2 linked regions of the Macaca mulatta genome follow. The protein of the gene in region 1 interacts with the protein of each later gene in a biochemical or structural test. Links are inferred from orthologs where the notes say so. Each region holds a gene or a part of one and is shown in the gene's direction. Other genes may lie near its edges.

What was found.
Region 2: the proteins of DCN (region 1) and TGFB1 form a complex in vitro, tested with the Homo sapiens proteins (3 studies listed by BioGRID). The link is inferred for Macaca mulatta from reciprocal best matches to the Homo sapiens genes DCN and TGFB1.

What each region holds. Positions count from the first base shown.
Region 1 is NC_133416.1:98,632,414-98,636,756, reverse strand, and holds the start of DCN (decorin), read left to right. Parts: upstream 1-1,537; 5' UTR 1,538-1,612; intron 1,613-4,343. UniProt on the Homo sapiens protein: May affect the rate of fibrils formation.
Region 2 is NC_133424.1:52,486,104-52,489,922, reverse strand, and holds part of TGFB1 (transforming growth factor beta-1 proprotein), read left to right. Parts: intron 1-1,990; coding exon 1,991-2,068; intron 2,069-2,204; coding exon 2,205-2,355; intron 2,356-3,819. UniProt on the Homo sapiens protein: Transforming growth factor beta-1 proprotein: Precursor of the Latency-associated peptide (LAP) and Transforming growth factor beta-1 (TGF-beta-1) chains, which constitute the regulatory and active subunit of TGF-beta-1, respectively.

The sequences.
Region 1 (4,343 bases):
CATTGATTGCCTTCTATGGGAGGAAGGTGGACAGGAGTCAGAGAGAGATTACAAAGGCACAAGGAGACTTCTGGAGGTGATAGATTTATTCAATATTTATTTTTTCAACTTTCATTTTAAGTTCAGAGGTACATGTGCAGGATGTGCAGGTTTGTCACATAGGTAAATGTGTGCCATGGTGGTTTGCTGCACAATATCTTGATTGTGATGGCTTAATGGGCATAAAATATGTTTGTATACATATATGTATATATATCATAACATCAAATTGTACACATTAAAATGTGCAAAATTTGTGTCGAGCCTGTCTCAATAATTCTGTTTTAAAACAAAGCAAAACAGAAAACTCCACCATAAGCACCATTATCTATGTACCTGGACATTTTGTTCCAGGCCACCTCATAGGTGTCACTGGTTGTAAGAACTGGTTAGCACCAGGTCAAGGGCTCCCTGATGAATTTATCAGCTGTGGGTAGAGTATGGTGATGTATCCATCAGTTGTAAGCTTAAAAACTTATATTTAAGTAATTGTCTTAGACTGAAGGGAATTGTTGGTTTCCAAGCATTCTGAGGCTGGACATATGTAGTACGCCATCTAATATAAGAGAAAAATGGAGATGTTACCAAGAATAGGGATAAAATAAACTAGGCAACTCAGAGACATTCCTTGCCATCTGTTGTCCTTTAGGCTGGTTGATGTGTCTGGTTCAACTGTGACCCTTTCAAACTTCTCCAGCACATCTAGAACTCTTGTAGTTTGAAGTTTCACAATCCACATTCCAAAAAAATTAGATGTTGCTTAGACTTTGGATTTTGGTTTGAAATATGATGCTACACTTTATCCGCCACACTTTAACATCTGGCTAAGGCTACTAATTAATGCTCAAGGAAATTTGTAATTGTTCAGTAGGGGAAAAAGAATGTAAGTTAACCACAAAGCCCTTCACGATTGGAGAGTGAAGAGATGCCCATGTTTCATTGCTATGTAATACTCAGATGTAAGCTCTCTCTGCCTTACACAATTTAGTTGTTCTCTCCTAAAAATGTTACTCAGATTGAATAGTTATGTATTTATGAAATCTAGATGTTTAGTGGGCAGATGTTAAGACAGTTGCAGAAGAGGAGAATAAGAGTTAAAACAACTGTAAAGTAGATCTCTGACATGGTTCCATCAACACATATTTGTTAAGCATTTTCTTTGTGCCAGGCATTATATTGGAACAGCATAAACAGTAGTGAACAAAAATTAGCCTGTTTCTTTTCTTCATAGAAATTATAGCACAGGAAATGTGTACAATTAGATGTGTAGTTCATTCCAAACTCCCGCTCCTAGATCTTTTTTTCTCTTTCCCATATAATGTGATTTGGCTGTGTCCCCACCCAAATCTCATCTTGAATTCCCACGTGTTGTGGAAGGGGCCCAGTGAGAGGTGGCTGAATCATGGGGGCTAGTCTCTCCCATGCTTTTCTGTTGATGGTTAAGTCTCATGAGATCTAATGGTTTTAAAAACGGAATTTCCCTGAACAAGCTCTCTTCTCTTGTCTGCCGCCATGTGAAGTGTACCTTCCACCTTCTGCCGTGATTGTGAGACCTCCCCAGCCACGTGGAACTGTAAGTCCAATATACCTATTTCTTTTGTAAATTGCCCAGTCTCTGATTTGTCTTTATCAGCACCGTGAACATGGGCTACTACACCATGAAAATTATTTTCATTCAGTAAATATGTACTTATATTATTAACGTTATGGAGCATCTACAAATGAGAAGATTTGGTATAAGATCTTTTTGAAAGTAAGCTTCTCCTTCTCCTCCTTGTCCTTTTCCCTTCTCCTTCACTTTCCTTTATCATTTTCTACTTTTAATTTTGAAGTAATTTCAGGGGTACAAAAATGTTGCAAGATTAGAGCAAAGCATTCTTATATGCTATACCCAAACCCAGATTTTCCAAATGTTAACCTTTACCTCTCTTGCTTGCTTTATAATTCTCACTTTTCCTCCCTTCTTCTCCCTCTCCTCTTTTCCTTCCTATTTCTCTCTTCCAACCCCAGCCTCTCCATAGATATGGTTACAAATGTAGATATAAGTATAGATGCAAATATAACTGTAGTTATATATTTTTTTCCTGAAACACTTGAGAGTAAGTTACAAACGTGATACTCTTTACATCTAAATATATTAGTGTACATTTTATGTCACTTAACCACATTACAATGAACAAAATCAGGAAACAAACATTAATAACACTATAACTTAATAACCCTAACTTAGAAACCATATTCAAAATCAGCCATTTATACCACTAATATTCTAAACCAATCCATGATCCCATGTTGCATATAGTTCTCATATCTTTTTATCTTCCTTTACTCTAGAACAGAGACTCAGTTTTTCTTTGACTTTTATGACAGATACTTTTTTTTTTTTTTTAAAGAATATAGACCAGTTATTTTGAACAATATTCTTCAGTTTGGGTTTGTCTGATGTTTCCTTATTAGATTTAAGCTATGTATTTTTGGCAGGAGTGATGGGTTTTTCTCAGTGCAGCATGATGTCTTTAGTGAAACAGTAATTTAACTGTCCATTTGGTAAATGGGGTGTCTGCCAATTTTCTTTAATGTAAAGTTACCATTTTTGTCTTTGTAATGAATAACTATCTTGTGAGCTACTTTGAGATTATATAATCATCCTGTTTCTCACTATACTTTTATGCAATAATTCTTTGATGAGTCTTGTCTGAAATAATTATTACTAGTATGGCTTCCAAATAGTGATTTTTCTGTTTCTATAATTCGTTCTGCCTTTATTTAGTGGAATTTTATTGTAAAGAAGTTTTACTTTCTACCCTGCTAAACTTCTTTTCTGAGGTCTCTGCATTCATCTGTCTGTCCATCCTTCTCTCTACTTTATTTTTTTATCTATCCATTGCCTCATTTCATATAGTACTAAATGTATAGTCTTATTTCATTTCTCTGACTTAATTAGATTTTTATAAAAGACTCCCCTAGTGATGTTCCTGCTAACCACATTTTTTATGTAAGTATCATTAAATGTGCCTACTACTGCTTTCTATAGAGCCGATGAGTAATTTATATCAGAAAACATGATAAAAGTCCATTCTTTAAAATCCATTAGAGACTTGTTTATGAGGGAGATTCAAGCTTTCTAAAGACCTTCATCAGATGAGTCTGCATATGTTCAAGAACATATGTTTGGACTGTCTATGCTCCTCCCCTAACCTCCTTGTCAAGATGATCCCCAGTTGGATTGCTGACTGAAACTGTAAAGATTACTTACTATAGATTTGATATTTCTATCAAGTTTGGTTGAGTGTCTGACTCAAGTCTCACTCTCTATATTTATTTCAAATATAAGTTTTCTTATGTCTTCTTATGATCTCTCTAACACCTGTCCATGGTCTGATCAGATTTGAACTTTCCAGATTTGAGATTTTAGTGACAGATACAAATTTTATGGAATTAAAATAATGTAATCAGAGATACCATTTATTCAGTGCTTAATATGTATCCCAGGTACTTTACATATAATATTTTAAAATCTCATAAAACCCTATAAGATCAACGTGTATATCTTAATTTTTAAAAAGTCTTTGGCCTGGTGTTCAGAGAAGCTAAATGATTGGACTGAGCTCAAAGCTAACAAGTAGAAGGGCTGGCATTCAAATACAGGTTTATCCTGATGGAAAAGGCCATTTTTCCCTTTGCATTAAACATTGATAATTATCTGTTAACAGTGATAAATATACACAGGAATAATCATGATAGTATATGAAATTATTAAGAATAAAAACTGTAGGGATTCTGAGGCAGAAAAATGAAGTTCTCTTCTTCCTAAAGTGCTGCAGAGTACTCAAATTGCAAGCGTTTATTTATTTGATTTGGCTTTATTTGTTTGGTTCCACTTCTTGCTTTCCTCCTTTGCAGAATCAGTATACTTAAAAATCTACATACATGCTCAAAAAATTATGTCGAAGCCTTAAAATCCATAAATGCCATAATAATGATAATGTTGCTTTATCCCCATGAAGATTTATACCTAGCATCAAGATTTATACCTAGCACCAAGCTTATACATAGCTATAAGTTGAACATATGAAATTAAACTTTTTGTTTCCAACAGCAGGTGGTGGTACAGGGTTATTCTATCAAGTTTTAGGACTTAATTACAGATACTACTGTGTTGTTGAAAGTGATATGGAACATGTACTTTGATTTTGGAAGCCTTTATATTACCTTATTATTTACTTTATAAAATGATAACATCTTTGAAAAAATTACATACTCATAAATCATTTTAGAAGAAAGAAAATGATTAGATACATACA
Region 2 (3,819 bases), on another chromosome or scaffold:
GAGGCCAGGGAGCCTAACTCATTTGATCTGTCCCAGAGATGACTGTCTCTGTCCAGTTCCTGGCAGGGGCCATGGTGCCCGTATCTCTCTCCCTCACCTCCCTCTCATTCATGCTTTTATTCAATCATTGCCCACAGGTTCCTGCTGTGTGTCTGGCCCTGTGCTGGGTGGTGTGGGGGACACAGTGGTAACCAAGACAGCCCTCAGTTCTGCCCTCATGGGGCCCACAGTCACTTCTGGACACCGAAGAGATCTTGCCCCACCAGGCAGGAATGACCTAGAATGATTGAGGATGGGACGGGGAGGCACGGGCAGAGAGGACAAGGCTGGGACAGAGAGGCATGCAGGATGGGGGATGCCCTAAGCGCTGTTGGGAGCCCAGAGAAGGCTCCCAGACCCATCTGGGGAGTCTAGGAGGGCTTGCTGGGTGAGCGTGATTATGTGGAGACTCACAGGATAAATAGTAGTTTGGCCACATGAAAAAATAGGGATTGGGGGCACGGTGACTCACGCCTGTAATCCCAGCACTTTGGGAGGCCAAGGAGGGTGGATCACAAGGTCAGGAGATCGAAATCATCTTGGCTGACAAGGTGAAGCTCTGTCTCTACTAAAAATCCAAAAAAAGAAAAAGTTAACCGGGCATGGTGGTGGGCGCCTGTAGTCCCAGCTACTTGGGAGGCTGAGGCAGAATGGTGTGAACCCAGGAGGCGGAGCTTGCAGTGAGCCAAGATCGCACCACTGCACTCCAGCCTGGGCAACAGAGCAAGACTCAGTCTCAAAAAAAAAAAAAGAAAGAAAAAATAAGGATTAGTGGGCCAAGCACAGTGGCTCACGCCTGTAATCCCAGCACTTTGAGAGGCCAAGGTGAGTGGATCACCTGAGGTCGGGAGTTCAAGACCAGCCTGACCAACATGGAGAAATCCTGTCTCTACTAAAAATACATTAGCTGGGCGTGATGGCACATGCCTGTAATCCCAGCTACTTGGGAGGCTGAGGCAGGAGAATTGCTTGAACCCAGGAGGCGGAGATTGCAGTGAGCCAAGATCGCGCCATTGTGCTCCAGCCTAGGCAACAGGAGCAAAACTCCGTCTCAAAAAAAAAGAAAAAAAAAGAAATGAGAAACAAAAAATAGGGATTAGGGAGCAGGTGGGCACCGAGAGGAGTGTCCTGGGCTGTTCGATAAAGGCCTAGAAGGATTTCATCTGTCTTGGTCAATGCTGAGTCCCAAGCACACAGCATAGGCTTCGGCACATCGTGGGAGCTTAGAAAATATCATTCACTCATTCATTCAAGAGATTGATGCTGGCTGGGTGCAGTGGCTCATGTCTGTAATCCTGGTACTTTGGAAGGCCAAGGCGGGAGGATTGCTTGAGCCCAGCCTGAGCAACATAGCGAGACCTCTGTCTCTACAGAAAATTTAAAAAGTAGCCGTGTAGGCTAGGTGCAGTGGCTCATGCCTGTAATCCCAGCACTTTTGGAGGCTGAGGCCAGTGGATCACCTGAGGTCAGGAGTTCAAGACCAGCCTGGCCAACATGGTGAAACCCCATCTCTACTAAAAATACAAAAAATTAGCCGGGCGTGGTGGTGCACGCTTGTTATTCCAGCTACTTGGGAGGCTGAGGCAGGAGAATGGCTTGAACCTGGGAGGCAGAGGTTGCAGTGAGCTGATATCATGCCACTGCACTCCAGCCTGGGCAACACAGCCAGACTCCATCTCAAAAAAAAAAAAAAAAAAATTAGCCATGCATGATAACACGCGCCTGTGGTCCCAGCTACTCGGGAGGCTGAGATGGGAGGATTGCTTTGGCCTGGGAGGTTGAGGCTGTAAGACCTTGTCTCAAAAAAAAAAAGAGCTGCAGCGAGTGGGCAGAGTGGGGTGGGTGGGGGAGGCAGGAAGGAACCCCTTGGGCTTTGCTCCTTCCTTCCTCTTCCTCCAGGGGCTGGGTAAGCTGCACTCTCAGACTGGCTTCCCTCTCCCCACTCCTACAGGGGAAATTGAGGGCTTTCGCCTTAGCGCCCACTGCTCCTGTGACAGCAAAGATAACACACTGCAAGTGGACATCAACGGTGAGGCTTGCTTCCCTGGCCGTGCCCAGCTGTGACGTGTGTGCATGTGTGTGTCCCCATCTGCCCCACGCCCCACTTATCTATCCCTCTGAGAGTGTGTGTGTATGTCCTCTATCCCCTGACTCCCACACCAAAGCAGGGTTCACTACCGGCCGCCGAGGTGACCTGGCCACCATTCATGGCATGAACCGGCCTTTCCTGCTTCTCATGGCCACCCCGCTGGAGAGGGCCCAACATCTGCAAAGCTCCCGGCACCGCCGAGCCCTGGACACCAACTACTGCTTCAGGTGAGCCTTGTATCCTTGAATGGAGACCTTCCAGGCTGGGGGCATGACTGCCATCTGCTGACCAGGTGCTCCAGGTTGGACACCTGGCTGGTGCCGTGCTTGGACTGGGCGTCTGTCTCCTTTAGCTTGGAGGGCTCAGGGGATGAGGTCTGGGTGTAAGAACCGAGAGTCTTGTGCTGGGTGCGGTGGCTCACGCCTGTAATCCCAGCACTTTGGGAGGCCGAGGCAGGTGGATCACCTGAGGTCGGGAGTTGGAGACCAGCCTGGCCAACATGGTGAAACCCGTCTCTACTAAAAATCCAAAAATTAGCCAGGTGTGGAGGTGGGCGCCTATAATCCCAGCTACAAAAAACAAAAAGCCCCACCCCCCCAAAAAAAAAAAAAAAAAAAAAAAAAGAACTGGGAGTCTTGTAAGGTTGGGATCAGGTTGCTTTTTTTTTTTTTTTTTTCATTTGAGACAGAGTCTTGCTCTGTCACCTGGGCTGGAGTACAGTGGTGCAATCTTGGCTCACTGCAACCTTTGCCTCCCGGGTTCAAGCGATTCTTCTGTCTCAGCCTCCCGAGTAGCTAGGACTACAGGCATGTGCCACCATGCCCAGCTAATTTTTTGTATCTTTAGTAGAGACAGGGTTTCACCGTGTTAGCCAGGATGGTCTTGATCTCCTGACCTTGTGATCCACCTGCCTCAGCCTCCCGAAGTGCTGGGATTACAGGTGTGAGCCACCATGCCCAGCCTTGCTTTCTTTTTGGAGTGTTGGAATCACAGAATGTTAGAAAGTTGAACCCTGAGATTGTTGGAATTCAAAGTTGGAAGGTCACCATCGTGAATCCCTAAACTGTTGGCAGGTTGAGGTTCTAGAATGCTAGAATTTGGTGTTAATTACGGAAATGGAGAATGTCGGACTCAAGGGAAGCTGAAATATTGGGATCCTAGAATTTGGGAATTCGGAATGGGAAGATGGCCCATGTGGAATTCTGCACCGCTGGCCGATTGTGGATACCAGTGTTGGCGGGTTGGAGTCCTGGAATATTGGGCTCACAGCGGTAGAATTCTGTTTTGAAACATTCACATCCACAAATGTTGGAATTGGAGAAAGCAGAATATTGGTATCCCAGCATGCTGGAACTCAATGTTGGAATATTAGAATATTAGTATGCCGGGATTTTATTAATAGAAAGTGGCAGCAGGCTGGGCGCGGTGGCTCACGCCTATAATCCCAGCACTTTGGGAGGCTGAGGTGGGTGCATCACCTGAGGTCAGGAGTTCAAGACCAACCTGGTCAACATGGTGAAACCTCATCTCTATTAAAAATACAAAAATTAGCCGGGTGTGGTGGTGAGCACCTGTAATCCCAGCTGAGTAGCTCTGCAGGTACCCAGGGTGGGGCAGGAGAATCCCTGGAACCTGGGGGGCGGAGGTTGCAGTGAACTGAGATCACACCACTGCACTCCAGCCTGGGCAAC